2 linked regions of the Arabidopsis thaliana genome follow. The protein of the gene in region 1 interacts with the protein of each later gene in a pairwise test. Each region holds a gene or a part of one and is shown on either strand. Other genes may lie near its edges.

Evidence for each region.
Region 2: the proteins of AT5G57860 (region 1) and MYB67 interact in a two-hybrid assay, tested with the Arabidopsis thaliana proteins (2 studies listed by BioGRID).

What each region holds. Positions count from the first base shown.
Region 1 is NC_003076.8:23,435,693-23,443,844, reverse strand, and holds AT5G57860 (Ubiquitin-like superfamily protein), read right to left. Parts: upstream 6,292-8,152; 5' UTR 6,116-6,291; intron 5,926-6,115; exon of another isoform or gene 5,890-5,925; 5' UTR 5,855-5,889; coding exon 5,852-5,854; intron 5,572-5,851; coding exon 5,386-5,571; coding exon of another isoform or gene 5,371-5,385; exon of another isoform or gene 5,240-5,370; coding exon 5,200-5,239; intron 4,817-5,199; coding exon 4,758-4,816; 3' UTR 4,442-4,757; downstream 1-4,441. Other genes in the region: eIFiso4G1 (MIF4G domain-containing protein / MA3 domain-containing protein), read right to left, coding at 412-1,410, 1,495-1,737, 1,825-2,175, 2,268-2,355, 2,475-2,572, 2,674-2,883, 2,974-3,081, 3,187-3,258 and 1 more; ADCL (D-aminoacid aminotransferase-like PLP-dependent enzymes superfamily protein), read left to right, coding at 6,558-6,693, 6,884-6,930, 7,167-7,333, 7,422-8,098.
Region 2 is NC_003074.8:4,040,350-4,048,010, forward strand, and holds MYB67 (myb domain protein 67), read right to left. Parts: upstream 4,367-7,661; 5' UTR 4,174-4,366; coding exon 4,011-4,173; intron 3,819-4,010; coding exon 3,058-3,818; 3' UTR 2,939-3,057; downstream 1-2,938. Other genes in the region: AT3G12710 (DNA glycosylase superfamily protein), read right to left, coding at 223-709, 805-862, 1,086-1,479; AT3G12730 (Homeodomain-like superfamily protein), read right to left, coding at 6,885-7,224, 7,333-7,405, 7,509-7,584.

The DNA.
Region 1 (8,152 bases):
ATAAAGCTTAAGGTCGAATGAATCATTTACTCAACTAATGTTAGCTCAGAATCAGATAGGAATAATAGGAAGACGATGATCAAACATTTCCAATGTAATTATCTGAACCGACCAGTTTATAGGGGTCTCAAGTCTCAACAACAATCAACTGAATATAATAACTGAGACCGTAAAACAAAAATGCAAAGGTCAAAAAAAGACAAGTCACAGAAGAATACAAAAAAGGACATGGACTCATGCCCACAAAGAAGAGTGGTGAGAATAATGTCATAAGAAAAAGCTTCAACGAAGAGCAAAACTATTTTTGAGTTCTGAGAATCCTTTTCTCCTCCTCCTTCAAGCTTACAACACAACATTCATCGCACAAGCATAAGACCCAGAGAGAGCAAAATCGTCAAGTAATGATTCCTTTTACAGATTCCGACAAGCCTCTATGTCTGCAGCCTGTGAGGCCAACAAGGACTTCCCCTGCTCGCTTGACTCCACAATGCGTACAGCTGCATCGACCACCATCTTCTGGAACCTATCGTCTTCCATCTTCCCTATAATTTCTCTAACCAATTTGAAATCCACACCACCAGCCAGAATCAGCTTTCCCACAATCTCACCAAAATTGTTTGGTGCCTTAGGAAGATCAATTCCAATGTCGTCCAACATAGCACCGTAGAGCAAGAACCCAGTTTCAAGATCCTTGGGTGCGACTACCTTCTTTGATAACAAATACTCCAAGAGTGTAGCAATTGGCTCAACGACAGGCGGGCTTTTCTCAAGAGACAGGGATATTGCTTCCTTCACAAACTCTGGGTGATATGACGGCAAACCAAGCTCCTCTACACACTGCAGAGCTTCACCAAGTAGTCGGACATTGAAATATTCCTCGAGAAGCGACTTTGTTTTTCTTTGGAGCACTTCTTCGCTCAACTTGGGACCACTAGGCTGTGGTTTCTCCACCGGAACTGGTACGGTCAGAGGTGCAACTGACTGTGCTGGCCGTTCTGCTGACACGGTAACTGGACGCGACACTGAACCACTTCCCTGCAACAGTGCGCTTGTCTTGCCACTCATAATGCCACTGCTGCCTTGAGGTAAGAGCCTCGTGTTCATTGAGGCCGACTTGCTCACTGCTGGAGAATGTAGAGGTCCTGGCCCATCGCGTCTAGACATTGATCTTGTCCGGGGTACCTCCCAGTTATCATTGTCCACTCCGGGCATCCCAGGCATCCTTCGCGTCCCAGGCATACCAGGCATCAAGCCACCCGCACCAGGTCGCCCACCAGGGTAGACAGGGCCAGGGCTCACAGGCCCACCACTAGAAACCATACCCCTTCTCATATTTGCAGTGGCACCTGGTCGGAGACCAAGATTCTTCTCTGCCTCAGTATGTATTTCGGTTATAGTTCTTGCTTTCATCTGCACGAGTAATGTAAATAGAACATTAGAATCACTACACAATGGAGCAGGAAACAAGTCTCAACCTTGTAAAACCTAGAATACCTCTTCCCGCCTTGGAACCCAGCCATTGGAGCGCATGTCGATGATATTCTGAACCATGAATCTCAGACGCAGTTCCAACTGAGGATTCTTTGACAGAGCCTGTAGGCGTTTGAAATATACATCATTAATCCGTTTTGACTTCACGTTTCCGTCAAGTTGTTTGCCAATAGTTTTGAAGAAATGACAAATAGCTTCGACATTTTCCTCGGCTGGACAAACTTTCTCATCGGCCCCCAGAAGCTCCTGTGCACAGAACAAATTAAGAAAGGTTAATGCTAGATACCAAAATAAAAGAAGTCTAAGAAAATGTGTAAGCTTATAGGTGTTAACCTGAACAATGTGATGAACAATCTTTTCTGGGACCATCTTCTGCTTCAAAAGCTCACCAATCAAACGAATATTTCCTAGAGTCTTGAGCTTCAACAATTTTTCTTTGTCATTCCGCTCAGCCTCCTGATCTGGAGCACTCATCTGTCTAAGCTCCTCCCTCAACTGAGAAGCGCCCTCAAATGCCTCTTGACAGATATTCAGTAGAACCCTCTTAAATGTAATCTCCTTATCCCCAGGCTCTGCAGGTGGGAAGGTGGGCAGCTGGTCGTTGATATCAGAGCACAATTTTGCATACATAGGGCAAAAGGTCGGCTCAAGGACAGCTTTGTCAAAAATAAGGGTAATCACACCCTACAAATGAAAGAAAAGAACACGGGTTAGCCACACAAACAGCCTAGATGATTCAAACAAGACTTCATCTATGCTTGAGACATAGCATACACCTTCAGGATATCAGCAGATGTGATGCCAGATTCAATAAGTTGGCCCTTGAGAAGGTCATACTTTTCAGGGGTTAGCTTGTTCAGTATCCTGGACAAGAAAAGTATATCTTTGTAAGTGTGCATAGTCTATTTTAAAGATTTCATGTTGGCAGTAAAGGAAAGTTATACAAAAGTCTAGACAACTAATAACTGTCACAACGGCATTACCCTTTCACAGTCTTCAGAACACGATCATTTTCAGAAAGGTTTCCTCTTCTAGCTGACCAAGGAACTTCGGCTTTGACGAGGACAGGAGCTGGTCCACCCTGGTTCCACACGATATACAAATAAGTAAGAAAAATAAGAAATCATGCCAGAATGTAAAGGGCTAAGAAGAGGGAAAAACATTCATCTATTGATCAATTACCCCTTGGTTGGATGATATGTTTGCCCTTGAAAACTGGGAATTAGGTTGGTCTTGACGATTATATTGACTTGCTTCAACATACCTGGAATCTTTAGCTTCACGAAGATTATCCCACGACCTTTCCTCCCCAGAGGGTGGAGGTTGAGTAGAACGGCTACGCCAATCACGAGAGTCTGGCTCAGAGAAGCGACTTGCGGATTGAACGGGAACCTGAACCATTAAAATAAAAGATATGTGTTAAAAGTGAAACTTCATGAAACTATACCAAAATGCAAAATTTATGTTTCAACAAAACTATACCAAATTGCTTACGACACTTTCTCCACGTGCCCAAGTCCCTTCCTCACCAAACAGTTCAGCTGCAGTTTCCCGTTGGACTCTCAGAATTTCATCAGAGAGTTGAGTGGTCTGTATATATGCACAGACGTCAATGACCTCAACTAAGGAAGAACAAATACGAACAGCAGAAACTAAACCGGCTTTAATCCTATATTATTTAACTGGGATAATCACCTCTTTAAGCTCCAGGAGCTGCTCACGGGTGTACTTCACACGTTCACGGCCATCGAACCTCGAGTCTCCACCCTGAAACAAAAGCACAACCCAGGATAAATCTTCATTAACTAACACCCAATACACAAAATCATATAAGAAATAACGTATAAAGGAGACAAGGAACCACGAGTACTCAGTACAAAAGAAAGAGAGGAATAATTCTTTAACCATAAGGCCGAAATGAGTGATGAACTAAAGAAAAACTAGAAGAAATGTCAGTAGGTCCTTTATGAGCAAATAGCAGCTAACAAAATGCCCACCTAAAAGCCTACATATCATTATACGTCCATATTTACAGCAGAAACACATACTTGCGTGCGCCACTAAGAATCAGGACAAACAAACTGCTTGCATTACTCGTATTGACATATAAACCTATGAAGTTCAATTATGTATGTTGCAGACACCTATCAAAATCCAACATGAGCTCAGTAGTTATTACAAACACAAAGCATTAAAACTCGCAAATCAGAAAGATATTAGCCAATTCAGACATTTGAGAGAATCAAATCAGCAATATACCAAAGATTATAATTCCAAACAAAAAGGCTGCTGATTGCGACAAACCCGTAAAAAAGGATAAATTTTTAGCTCAAGCTAAGACAAGAGAGATAAAACAAATTCTAAATCAGAGGAAGAAGAGGGAGTTAGATCCAAATTTAGAGAGGGGACCCAGAAATGAGGGTACCTTGAAGGGAAAAGAGGAAGCAGGAGCACCACCATGAGGACGAAGGAGAGGTAGATCCGAAGATGAAAGAGAGCCAAAAGAGAGAGACGAAGAAGAAGAAGAGGAACCAAATAGTCTGTTTCCTCGACCGCCACCAGGTCTCAAGCTCAGAACCGTTTGATCGCCTTGCTGCATACCTCGATCTAATCCGCCTTAAGATCGAATCGAATCTCACAACAAAAATCGAAGAGAAAGGTAGAAGCTTTATCAGCGACGATGAATCGCTGACTCCGATAATCCAAGGAGAGGAGGGATCGGATTTCTGGGTCTCTCTCTCTCCTGCCGTTAGCGAAGAAGAGAAGAGAAGAGAAAAGTTGAGATTGAGAAATGAGAAGAAGAAGAAGAAGTCGAGAAGGAGACACAATCCCTTCTCTTTATTAGGGTTTTTTTCCTCTCTTTTTCCCGAACCAGACACACTTATAGCCTTAACGTTTTTTTCCGTTAAGATTACAGTTATGTCCTTTCATTTTGTTTTTTTGTCTCTTTATTTTGTCACCCTCATTGGGTTTTCCGTCAATGAACAATGTCAAATGGTAATAATGGAGCTTCCTCGGCTCGTGTTAGCTGCACCTCTAGCTCATTGTAAACATATTAAGAGACTGTAAAAACTACTAATCTGGCAAGTTGCAATCAAACTTCCACATCTCAATATCTTTACTTACAACAATTGTCTGTAACAAACTAAAGAGGCGTTAACACAAGCAGAGACGCAAAAGAAACAACTTCTGGCGTTTATAGACTCCTCCTTGTGTTTTGAATCAATACCTTCTCCTGAAGTTTCCTTGATACAGTAAGCAACTCTTCATGAAAGTGAGAAGTCGGTGGGCTGTGCAATGTTGACATCCTCAAACTCGTTATCATCTGCACATGGAAAAAAGAGATGCAATGCAATCATTATGCCGTTCATAGCTGTATAGATTCAGAATGCAATACAGCATCCTCAACAGTTGTGTAATCGAAACAAGGCTAAAAGAATAATAAGATTAGGAATCACATTCAGCTATATCACGGTCACAAAAGTTAGGCAAGACTCTTAAACATACCAAAAGATTATCCAGTGATAACAAAATAACTAAGATTCACAATAACAGGCTCAATTGAAGTCAATGGAGTTTGAAGGGTTCATATACCAAATAACATATAGAAAGATGAAGTGTGATAAGTAATTAACCAAGATGCATGATCCATTACGACATTTCAACAAGGAATTGAAAATTTCAGAATAAGAGGATCTAAGGTATAACCTTTCTTCAAAGTCAAAGCCACAACTGCATCATTCTCAACCTGAACAACCAAAAAAGAAGATGGTGACAAGCTTATAACTTTCAAATACACGCAAACGGAGGCAGTGGCTATGTGACCAAGTTCTTCTTTTAAACTTGAGCAATGACTCAAAAGATAAATATATTAGATAGTCAAACGTGTGATACCTTCTGATCTGCTAAGGATTTCGAATCCTCTAATACTTCTTCGGTAGACATTAAGACCAGACGCTGATTGTTAACTGGTTGCTCAATGAGAGCAAACAGTTTTTGCTTAACATCCAAAACAGTCTCTGTTGGATCACATTGGATAAAGTAAGTAGTTTTCATGCGCTTCACACGAATATACATAGCCTGCAAACAATATTACACAAGACTAATCAATACTACAACCAATATGGCCAAAATCTAACTTGTTCGATTGATTAAAGCAAAATTATTGCAAGACAAAAGTATCTCAACTTTTATTACTCCAAGAAGAACAGTAATAAATGTGATCAGGAAGCTGGAATTAAGAAGGGAAAAGATGTTCTCATTCCAAAAACATCTCTACTTCCCGTCAAATAAGCAAAGGATTGAATATACTAAGAACAATCAAACCCATCAAAGTGAACAAAAGAAGTAGAATGTTTACCATGGCAAGATAAGGATGAACAATTCACTCTTCTTCCGCTGCCGATTCACAAGACTTTAGAATCAAAATCTGTTCTAAGATGCCAATAAAAGATTAATCAGACTATCAGTGACAATTGACACACCTCAAAGAGTCAATTTAACTAAAGAGATGATCTAGTTATCCCCCAAATCTTTTCTTCTTTTGATATTCAAAAGAAAAGAAAAAAAAGCAAAGATTTTCAAAAATTACTGACTCAAATAACAAACAATGAAATCGACTTACCTAGATGGGTTAAGGACGAAAAAGTGACCACAAGAATGGATTAAGGATGAAATACTGGCAAAGAAATCAAAGTTGGCTTTTTTATAACTCGAGCTCAGAGCCCTACAAGGTAAGGAAGGAAGAAGAAAAATACCACTTTGGTGGCTTGTTTGGCTACAGATATAATACTAACATCGATTAGGCGTCGTACAAAACCCACTAAAAGACAGAGAGGGTTTGTTTTGTTTTAGGCTTTTATTTTTGATTGATTGAATATTAAAATACAATGCGAAAAGTCATATTGGGCTTATGGGCCGAATAACTTTATTTTATTTTTGTGGTGAAGTTAGGCCCAAATATTTTTTCGTCTTCTTCCAGTTCACGACTGAGATAATAATAATGCAAAGCAAGTTGCTATTTCCGAATGATCTCTCTCTCTCTATTCTTTTGAGTCCCAAACCCCATGGCAGGTTTGTCGCTGGAGTTTACAGTTAACACTTGGAATCTCAGGTCTCTCTCTCAAGTTCCATGTCCTTTAAGACATGGCTTTCGATTCCCGCGTCGGTTGACACGAAGAAGAACGATTCTCATGTGTTCTGGTTCGACATTTCTACCTTGTGTTCTCTCTTTTCTGATTTTTCTTCTGGATTGTGATTGGTGATGCATTTATTATAATCTTTTTAGGGTAATGTACACTTATTACCCTAAAAAAGAGATCAATTTGTTGATCGTTAAATTCCATAAGTGTTCTGGAATTGATGACAAAAATCTGCATTCGTTTCTCCACAGATTCAAGCTCTCAGTCGTGGAATGTTCCTGTTTTATCTAGCTATGAGGTAATTATGGTTTCTCTTTTATGTCTGTACTTATCAATCATATCTTTAACTCTTGAAACTGTTCACAATTTGTTAGCTAGAGATGTTTATTGACACAACCACCAGACATTTCTGTGTTTTGTCAATGAAATTATAGATGCAGCCCGTAATGAAGGATTGCGACATTTGTTTGTTATCCGTTTATGTTTAGAGGCGTTGATTGATTGAGTATCAGTGAAGTATGTTTGGTTTAAAAGGTTGGTGAGAGGCTAAAACTAGCAAGAGGAGGACAACAGTTCTTGGCCATGTACTCAAGTGTTGTTGATGGAATTACAACCGATCCAGCAGCGATGGTTCTTCCATTGGATGATCACATGGTTCACCGTGGTCATGGAGTCTTTGACACTGCCCTGATCATCAATGGGTTAGTCACTTTAAATAGTAGCCCCCTTTTCTAATTTGTCTTATTACTCAATCATCTGAGCTTCGCTTGTTGTCCTACGAATAAGCAGATACCTTTATGAATTGGATCAGCACCTTGACCGTATCTTGCGATCTGCATCAATGGCTAAGATCCCACTTCCATTCGATCGAGAAACTATTAAAAGAATTCTCATTCAAACCGTGAGCGTTTCTGGATGTAGAGATGGATCTCTAAGATACTGGCTCTCTGCAGGGCCAGGGGATTTCCTCCTATCTCCATCTCAATGTCTCAAACCAACTCTCTATGCCATTGTTATAAAAACGAACTTCGCCATTAACCCAATAGGTGTCAAGGTAGTGACCTCGTCCATCCCCATAAAGCCTCCAGAGTTTGCCACGGTGAAAAGTGTTAACTACCTCCCTAACGTACTCTCACAAATGGAAGCTGAGGCCAAAGGAGCTTATGCAGGTATTTGGGTGTGTAAAGATGGGTTTATTGCAGAAGGCCCGAACATGAATGTGGCGTTTGTTGTTAATGGTGGTAAGGAGCTTGTGATGCCGCGGTTTGATAACGTTTTGAGCGGATGTACAGCAAAGAGAACACTTACACTCGCTGAACAGCTTGTAAGCAAGGGGATTCTTAAAACTGTGAAAGTAATGGATGTGACAGTCGAAGATGGAAAGAAAGCAGATGAGATGATGCTTATTGGTAGTGGAATTCCGATCAGACCTGTGATTCAATGGGATGAAGAATTTATTGGTGAAGGTAAGTAAGATTATCATATAAACATTTTAAAAGCCTCACTTTTAATTACTTACA
Region 2 (7,661 bases), on another chromosome or scaffold:
AAATGAAAATCAATTACTATTTCAATTTGCCACACCACACATACATCAAAAACCATTATACATGTGATTTTAAACACCTCACACACAAGAAAAAAATCAAACCAGCTGGTTTATCTTACATTGCCAATTTTAAAAAACTGCAATCTCTTTTCTCCTAAACCTACATTTTGCACTCGAAAGTTAAATAAAAACACCACTTTCAATTAAATTAAAAATTAATAATTAGGGATTGGTTGCAAGGAGAGTGCAAGGAGCGTGGCGACAGCAAGTGATCAAGTGGTCGTTTGTAAGACCAGCGGCTTGCATGAATGAGTGAACCACAGTGGGACCCACGAACCGGAAGCCTCGACGAACCATGTCTTTGCTGATGCTCTCCGACTTCGATGTCTTGACCGGAATCTTGTGTCCAAGCTTGTAGTTCGTGGAGATTGGTTTGTGGTTCACAAATCCCCAAAGGTATTTCTCTAATGACACAAACGCTTTCTTGATCTCTACGATCTTTTTAGCGTTTTCCACAACACCTCTCACTTTGCTCATCTCTATCTTGTATTCGATGCTTATTGCATTCATCTCTTTCTCGGTGAGTTTGGCAACCACTTCCGCCTCAAACTCCATAAAGGCCTTCCTATAGTCATGGCGTTTTCTCAAGGTTGAAGTCCAATCGGAGCCTACTTGTGCGCCGCTTAGGGTCAGCAGTTCGAACAACGTCCTGAAAATTTAACATAACTAATTTAATTTTGAACAAAATGAACTAATGTACAATGACGTTTTCATTTGGAAAGAAGTATTAATTATGTCACGCACTTGTCATCATGAACTGGAACTCCCCATTCTTCATCATGGTAGGCCACGTAAATAGGATCTAAAGGTAACCAAACAAATCAGTTAGGAATCCAAGTATTTTATAAGATGGAACCTAAAGTTACAAAGAAAACTTAAAATAATATACAAGGGGTTTAAGCTGATTCAAACAATACCAAAATGGAAATTAAGAGGGTGAAACTTAATAAAATCAGTTCATAAGTGAAATTAACTAACATTAACCGGAAAACAAACAAGTAATAAAGAGAGAAATAGGTTTATACCAGAAGTGGGGGTGAGGAAGCTGCATCTCTGAGGATGAGGGTTAGGGTTAGGGTTAAGAAGAGGGACGACTTTGGAAGAAGTGAAATTAATGGTTGATTTGGATCTACCGTAATGAGCAATCTTTAGTTTCCTTAGTGCTTGTTGTGCCGCCACTTGCTCTCTCCTCACGGCGGCTATACTCCCAGGAGCCTCCGTTATGAGCCACGAAGAATAACTATCTCCTTCCTTAAAACTCTTTGATTTCTTGCGCTCCAAGCTTCCTCTCACTTTGGCTGCACCATTGCCCATCACACTGTCCCTCTTAAGGGACTCAGAGCGGTCCATTAGGCTATTGCAACTACTTGGCGGCAACATTCCCCTTTTGGTCAAGCTGATTGCTTCCGTTTTGCTCATATTCTCTATATATGGTGATGGATGATAAGTTGTACTGAGAGAGAGAGAGAGAGGGTTGAGATAATGAATAAGAAATAGAGAAGAGAAGTGATTGTGAACGTATATATATTAACTATGAGAGGCAGAGAGAATTGAAAGGTAGTTATATACTCGTAATAATAATATGTGAACATTATTCTAAAAATAAAACCGTGTGGATAAATTTTGTATTAGTATTGACAACAAGTAACAACAAAATAAAAAGAGAGAAGGAATATAGAAAAGAGAAGAAGCAGAGCATGTGCAGGATTTGATGCAATGATGCCACCAAATCATCCCATGTGACCTTTAAGTCTTCCCCTAACTATTTGTGTTTACTTTTCTTTTGGTACTTCGATATTCTTTCTTGTATCATTTTAGGCTGCTTTCTTATATTTGTCATATTTAAAAATTATGGTTGGTATCCGATATTATGTGATTTTTTTAGCAGCAATTTTTTTGTTTTGTGAGATTTTTAATCAAACATTAAACCCATATTTTCCAAAGGCAATTCTGTTATATACAAGAATAACTGTATATTAGTATTTTAGTCAACAACTTATTCAAGTATTTTTCTTTCAATTGTATGTCACCGCATCTACTGTCGTTCTCGTTTCATTTACTTTCCATATATAATCTATCTCTTCATGTACAATTAGATTTTCTATGAAATGCAAATGTTAACATTATTTATACATGTAGGTCGAAAGAAGTAGAAGAGAAATTGTGGTGAACTTGATGAAATTAAAGGACCAAATCCTAAGTAACTAAAGTGTTTACGATGAAGATAAGGAGACAGACCATGTGGTTCCACTTATCTTGTATATACATTATTACCAATACTATAATAATAAACACTACTTAATACATGTCCTTTATTCTCGATCTACTGTGCCTCGGTGTCGGTCTTCGTGTTGCTTGCTCCTCAATCATTTCAATATTCATGAGATTATTATGTTTGCTTCATCCGTATTGTTCATTTCAATCAAACGCGGGACGTAATAATTGGATTCCCATTTTGTGAATCTTTTCTTCTGATTACTATAATTTGACCTTTTCAACACCTGTATGCATATTCATGTACAAGTGTACGCCCGCAATTTAATTAGAAGAATGTGGTGTGGCAATGTAACATGTTCCCTCTTTGCCTTCGCTCTTCCCACGAAGTTTCATTAAAAACTAGCATTATTATTTCAATGGAATACCGCCGTGTAGTCTCTCATCAATCATAGCGCGCGAACGCAAGACACTTATTGAATCTATTGGGCCTCTAGTGGGCTACTTTCTTTATTGGTTGAATCTCACACCCATATTTACAATTAACATAGCCCATTTAGGCGCATGTTAATATGGGCGGTGCAAGTATAGATTAGCCAAAAAGCCTTTATTAGATGGTGAAAATTTCAATTTGCACATAACAAAGTCTTAGTGGGATTGATGGAGAAAAAAATGAGACACTGATTTGGAAAATTCTCAGCTTTTCAAAACTAGTGAAAAGCAGAAAGTGGCAATTATTCATATATATACACTTGAGAAAATGAAAATATTGTAGAGTAAAAGCTAAAAGGTCCAGCTGCCAAGATCATCCATGGGATTGAAATCGATAGACATTGCAGAGGAGAAAATGGAAGCAAAATCAGGATCAAAAGCAGAAGAAGAAGGAGTGTTAAACAAAATGTCCATGTTGAGATCATCATCATCCACTCCCACTACTGCCTTATCACTAGGCAACATCGGAGCTTCGTGGATCGCCATTCCATCAACATCTGACCAGTGAGGAATCATATTCTCATCATCTAAAAGACTTGACATGGGATCATTGATAGGGATCATGGTTTGAGTACTTGACATGTTATCATTGATAGGGATCACGGTTTGAGATGGGATTGTAGTCTGGTTAGGAGATTTAAGTTTGTTTGGTTTAGTGGAAGTGGGTGGATTGATGTTTGTGATTGAAAAAGCAGTGGTTGATTGATCAAGATCAGTAGGGTTCTTCATGATGGACGTCGTTTTGTTTGGCTTGGGGATATTATTATTGTTTGAAGAAGAAGATCTTTTGTGTGAAGGCATAAGATTATGTGTAGAAGGATCTAAGCCTTGAGAAAGAAGTTTCTTCTTAATGCATGAGTTCCAAAAGTTCTTGACTTCATTATCAGTGCGTCCAGGTAAGTGCTTAGCAATCTGAGCCCATTTGTTACCAAGAATACGATGTACGTCGATGATAATCTGCTCTTCTTCCTCATTAAACGAACCTCTCCTCAGATCAGGCCTTAGATAGTTTATCCACCTTAATCTGCAACTCTTCCCACATCTCTGCAACCCTATACACACATATAGATACTGTTAGGATTAATCCACATCGAGCATATAGTATATAAAAAACATAGGCTAATTCACTCATTGCTAATTAGTTTTGAATTGAAAGACTATTATTTTTTCACATGTTGTATGTTTAGACTCATGAACAAAAAATAGTAAAAAGAAAAGGGAAGTAGAGATAGAAGATACAAAACCGGCAAGCTTTGGAACGGAACTCCAACTAGGATGACCATGAGTGGTGATATAACGAAGAAGCTTCTCGTCTTCCTCTGGAGACCAAAGACCTCTCTTCACTTTGTGTTTTCCACAACATCGATGTCCCATTTCATCTCTTTTCATTTCCCACTTCTCTCTCATCTTCCTAACTTATATATTACAAGGTCTCTTGGTGTTGATTAACCAGCAGGGTGGTCACTATTTGATGTATTTTCCCTGATCAGTACTAATATCTTTCTTGGGAGAATTAATCTACTATATATGATTAACCAAACTTGTGTCGTTTCTCTTTTTTTCTCTGTGTGTCTTCAAATGGAAGCCTGATTAGAGACACCAGTAGTTCACGTCACTTTCCTTAACAAAATCATCTATGTATCTCGTTAACTTGTGTTTCTAGTTATTGTCATACATTGCATGCTTAAAATCCTATAATTATCAGTTTAGTTTAATGCAATGGTTTAATGATCTTATATATGTATGCTTTAACCAGGACACTCATTACTAGTTTTTAGTTTCTGTTTCACTCATTACTTGTTGTCTACTAGACTTCACAAATATTTCGGATCATTGGTAAGAAAATAGTAGAATGACTCGTTGGGTTTTACTACCCCTTCACGTATAACTTGTACTTATATATGCTCATAAATTTTTGTCCCAGTCTGCTACTTTTATCGTCATCATGGGAGACTTTTCTGCAAATGTGTTAGCTTGTTGAACAGTCGTAGAAGCGAATGAGCACTCAATTTTGGATATTTGGAATCATAAATAGTATTGCCATCCGTAAATACGTTTTCATTTACTAACAAATTAGTTAAAATTAGAGGTAAAGTAGGGAGCACGATTGCATAAAAATTCCGACCTAATCTCAACTACTAGTAAATTGGATCTTTCCCTGGAACTTCCGAATAACATGTCCTCTTAAGTAAGCCACGTACGCGTCAAGCTTAATAGATAAAGAGAGAGATAGGTGTACAACGCAACGTTTATTTGAACCCGTCAAGTTAAACGTAAGAATAAACTAATGGGTAGGGAGAAAGCGGTTAATTAACATAATAATATAAAGACGTCGCTGTTAATTACCGTATATGTAAAAATCTTTGTGTAGATGAAGCTTCGTATATTTAACTATACACTTGTTCTAGGTTTCCATTAATATAACGTAGTCCTCTCTTTCAGTCTTTTTTCTTGCAATTAAATATTGATAAACCCTAACCCTGAGTAAACTGATGGAATTAGACCACTTGGTAATCTTTTTGTTTAAAAATTCTAAAATTAAAGAAATAAGAGGCAAATTTTGGGCCATTCTGGTATTAATTTGACATCATGAAGTCAGAATGATGTAACACAATTCATTTTCGTGAAAAGCTATAATAACTGGGTAATCACTTATCATGATTCATGAGTTGCAAAAGACACGTACGTGATTTAAATGTCGGAGTAGTAAATAAGAAGCTCTATATATACTACGTAGCTCTTTTGGTGTTGTCTTTCTTTGTACAAAATTTCTAATTTACTTACCAAATGTTTAGTTTAGCGTAGCAGTTTAATTTACATTTTTCAACGTGATCAACATTACAGCATTTGTGATCTGGATTGTTTTTACTTATTTTGTGTCATTGTGTGTAATTACCAACGTTTAGTTTGACGTAGCAGATTAATTTACATTTTTCAACATTACATCATTGTGATCTGTTTTTAAAACAAAAAATTAAGACTCCTTATTTTGTTTGTAATTATATTTCAGCTTAAAAGGTAGTATATGATGAACTTGTATATGATGTTAAAAGTAAAAATGAGACATGTAAATGTAATTACATTAACTTATTTTTGTTAGAAATAAAAGGTGAGCAACAACGAATAATAACAAAGATCTGAAAACTGATGAAGTGTGAGAGAAAACAAACAACATATTTACTCCATCGTCCAATCTTATCTTTAAGTTATGTACCAGCGCAGTCCTTACAAAAGATTAAAAAATTACATCCATTTTTGACCGTTTCGGATCCATAAGACTTCCATTGACTCGTCAACCGACATACTTAAGACTTGAGAATACAACATTACCAGACTCTCTCTAGCTGGTTTACAGGTCTATGAACCCTCAAATATAATTCGAGTTTTTGACCATTTAAGGAGGGGGGGGGGGGGGGGGACCTGATATAGGAATGGGCTTTTCTAGTTTTAGGCTTTCGGCCCTAATTTCAATTATCGGACTAGTACAGAATTATTAGAATGCACATGGATAAATTCAAATTTTCCATAATTCCATGAAATGGCAAAATTTTCACAAAAGCCTGCAAGTACTGCAGTGATATTCTATTTAAGACTACTGGAGATGAACAGGCCAGTATCGGTGGGTGGTGATGATGGCTAGAAAAGTGACTAGATAGAAAGACGCAAGATTGATCGGTTATAATTGTGCATATAAACTTTTATAAACAAAAATTGACCGGAGAGATTTTGCATGTAAATGGATGTGACTTTAAAATATATAAATTCATATATCATGGGCTTCTAGAAAAAACAAAACCATCCGAAGAACAAAAAACAAGAAATCAGGTTGTGAGAACTAGGATCGAATTTAGAACTATAGAATTGTCCAAATTGAGTAAAATATATGTATCATTGTGCAAGTGAACACATATATAACAAAACACAAGAGTTGTGATAATCATGAGGCAGCATACGTTCCACATCATCGCATATATAGATCAAGGGAATAACGAAGACTTCATATGTTTGGCATAAGTTATTACAAGTAATTTTGTGCATAATTTTATACACCAAGTGCGCATTAGAAACTAGAGAAGAAAGAGTCAAGTAGCTAGATCTATATTTGATATATCTCTTCTCTAACCGAGACAAACCGTACGGCCCTTAGTGATGGAACTCCTAGAATCTTGTAGGGAGAAGTTGGAATTGATGTCGGGGAGAATCAACGTAGAGTCCATGGAGGAAGAGGAAGGAAAATGATCCTCGAACCATGGGATTGGGATGGACGATGTGTTGTTACAAATATTGGTGCGGTCGAAAAATAGAGTAGAGTAGTCTTTAGTGAGGCTTGCTTCTTGGGTTTCACATGCTTTCTCTAACATGCTCTCCATGTATTTCCCTTGTGCCGCTATCCTTTGATTCACCTGTCTTTCTATTACTACCTCTTCCTCTATCCTTCTTTGCACCTCCATTTGCATCCTTCATTACCATCCATAATTACCATTTTTATATTATAAAATTTTGAGTAATATATCTATTTATATATGAATCAATATATAGTTAGGATTTGGAATTGAAGGCACATACTCGTTCATATTGCGACCAATGATGAGCGGACTAGTCGTGAAAACAGCATTCCTTCGAAGATCCAACATGGAAGCTGCATGCATGATGTTTATTAATTAACATATATTCATGGCATAGTCACAGATGAATTAATTAACCAATGTATATATGAATTAATAATTAAGTTTATGACAGACCTCTATTTGTATCTCTAATACAAATGGAGTGATTTTGACTATGCTCCTTGTGAGGCTGCTTCCCAAGTCTGAACTTCTGTAGTTGAAACACACATACAGTATATGTTTTAAATCCTAATTACTACGGCAAGATTATAAAAGAAGCTAATAACA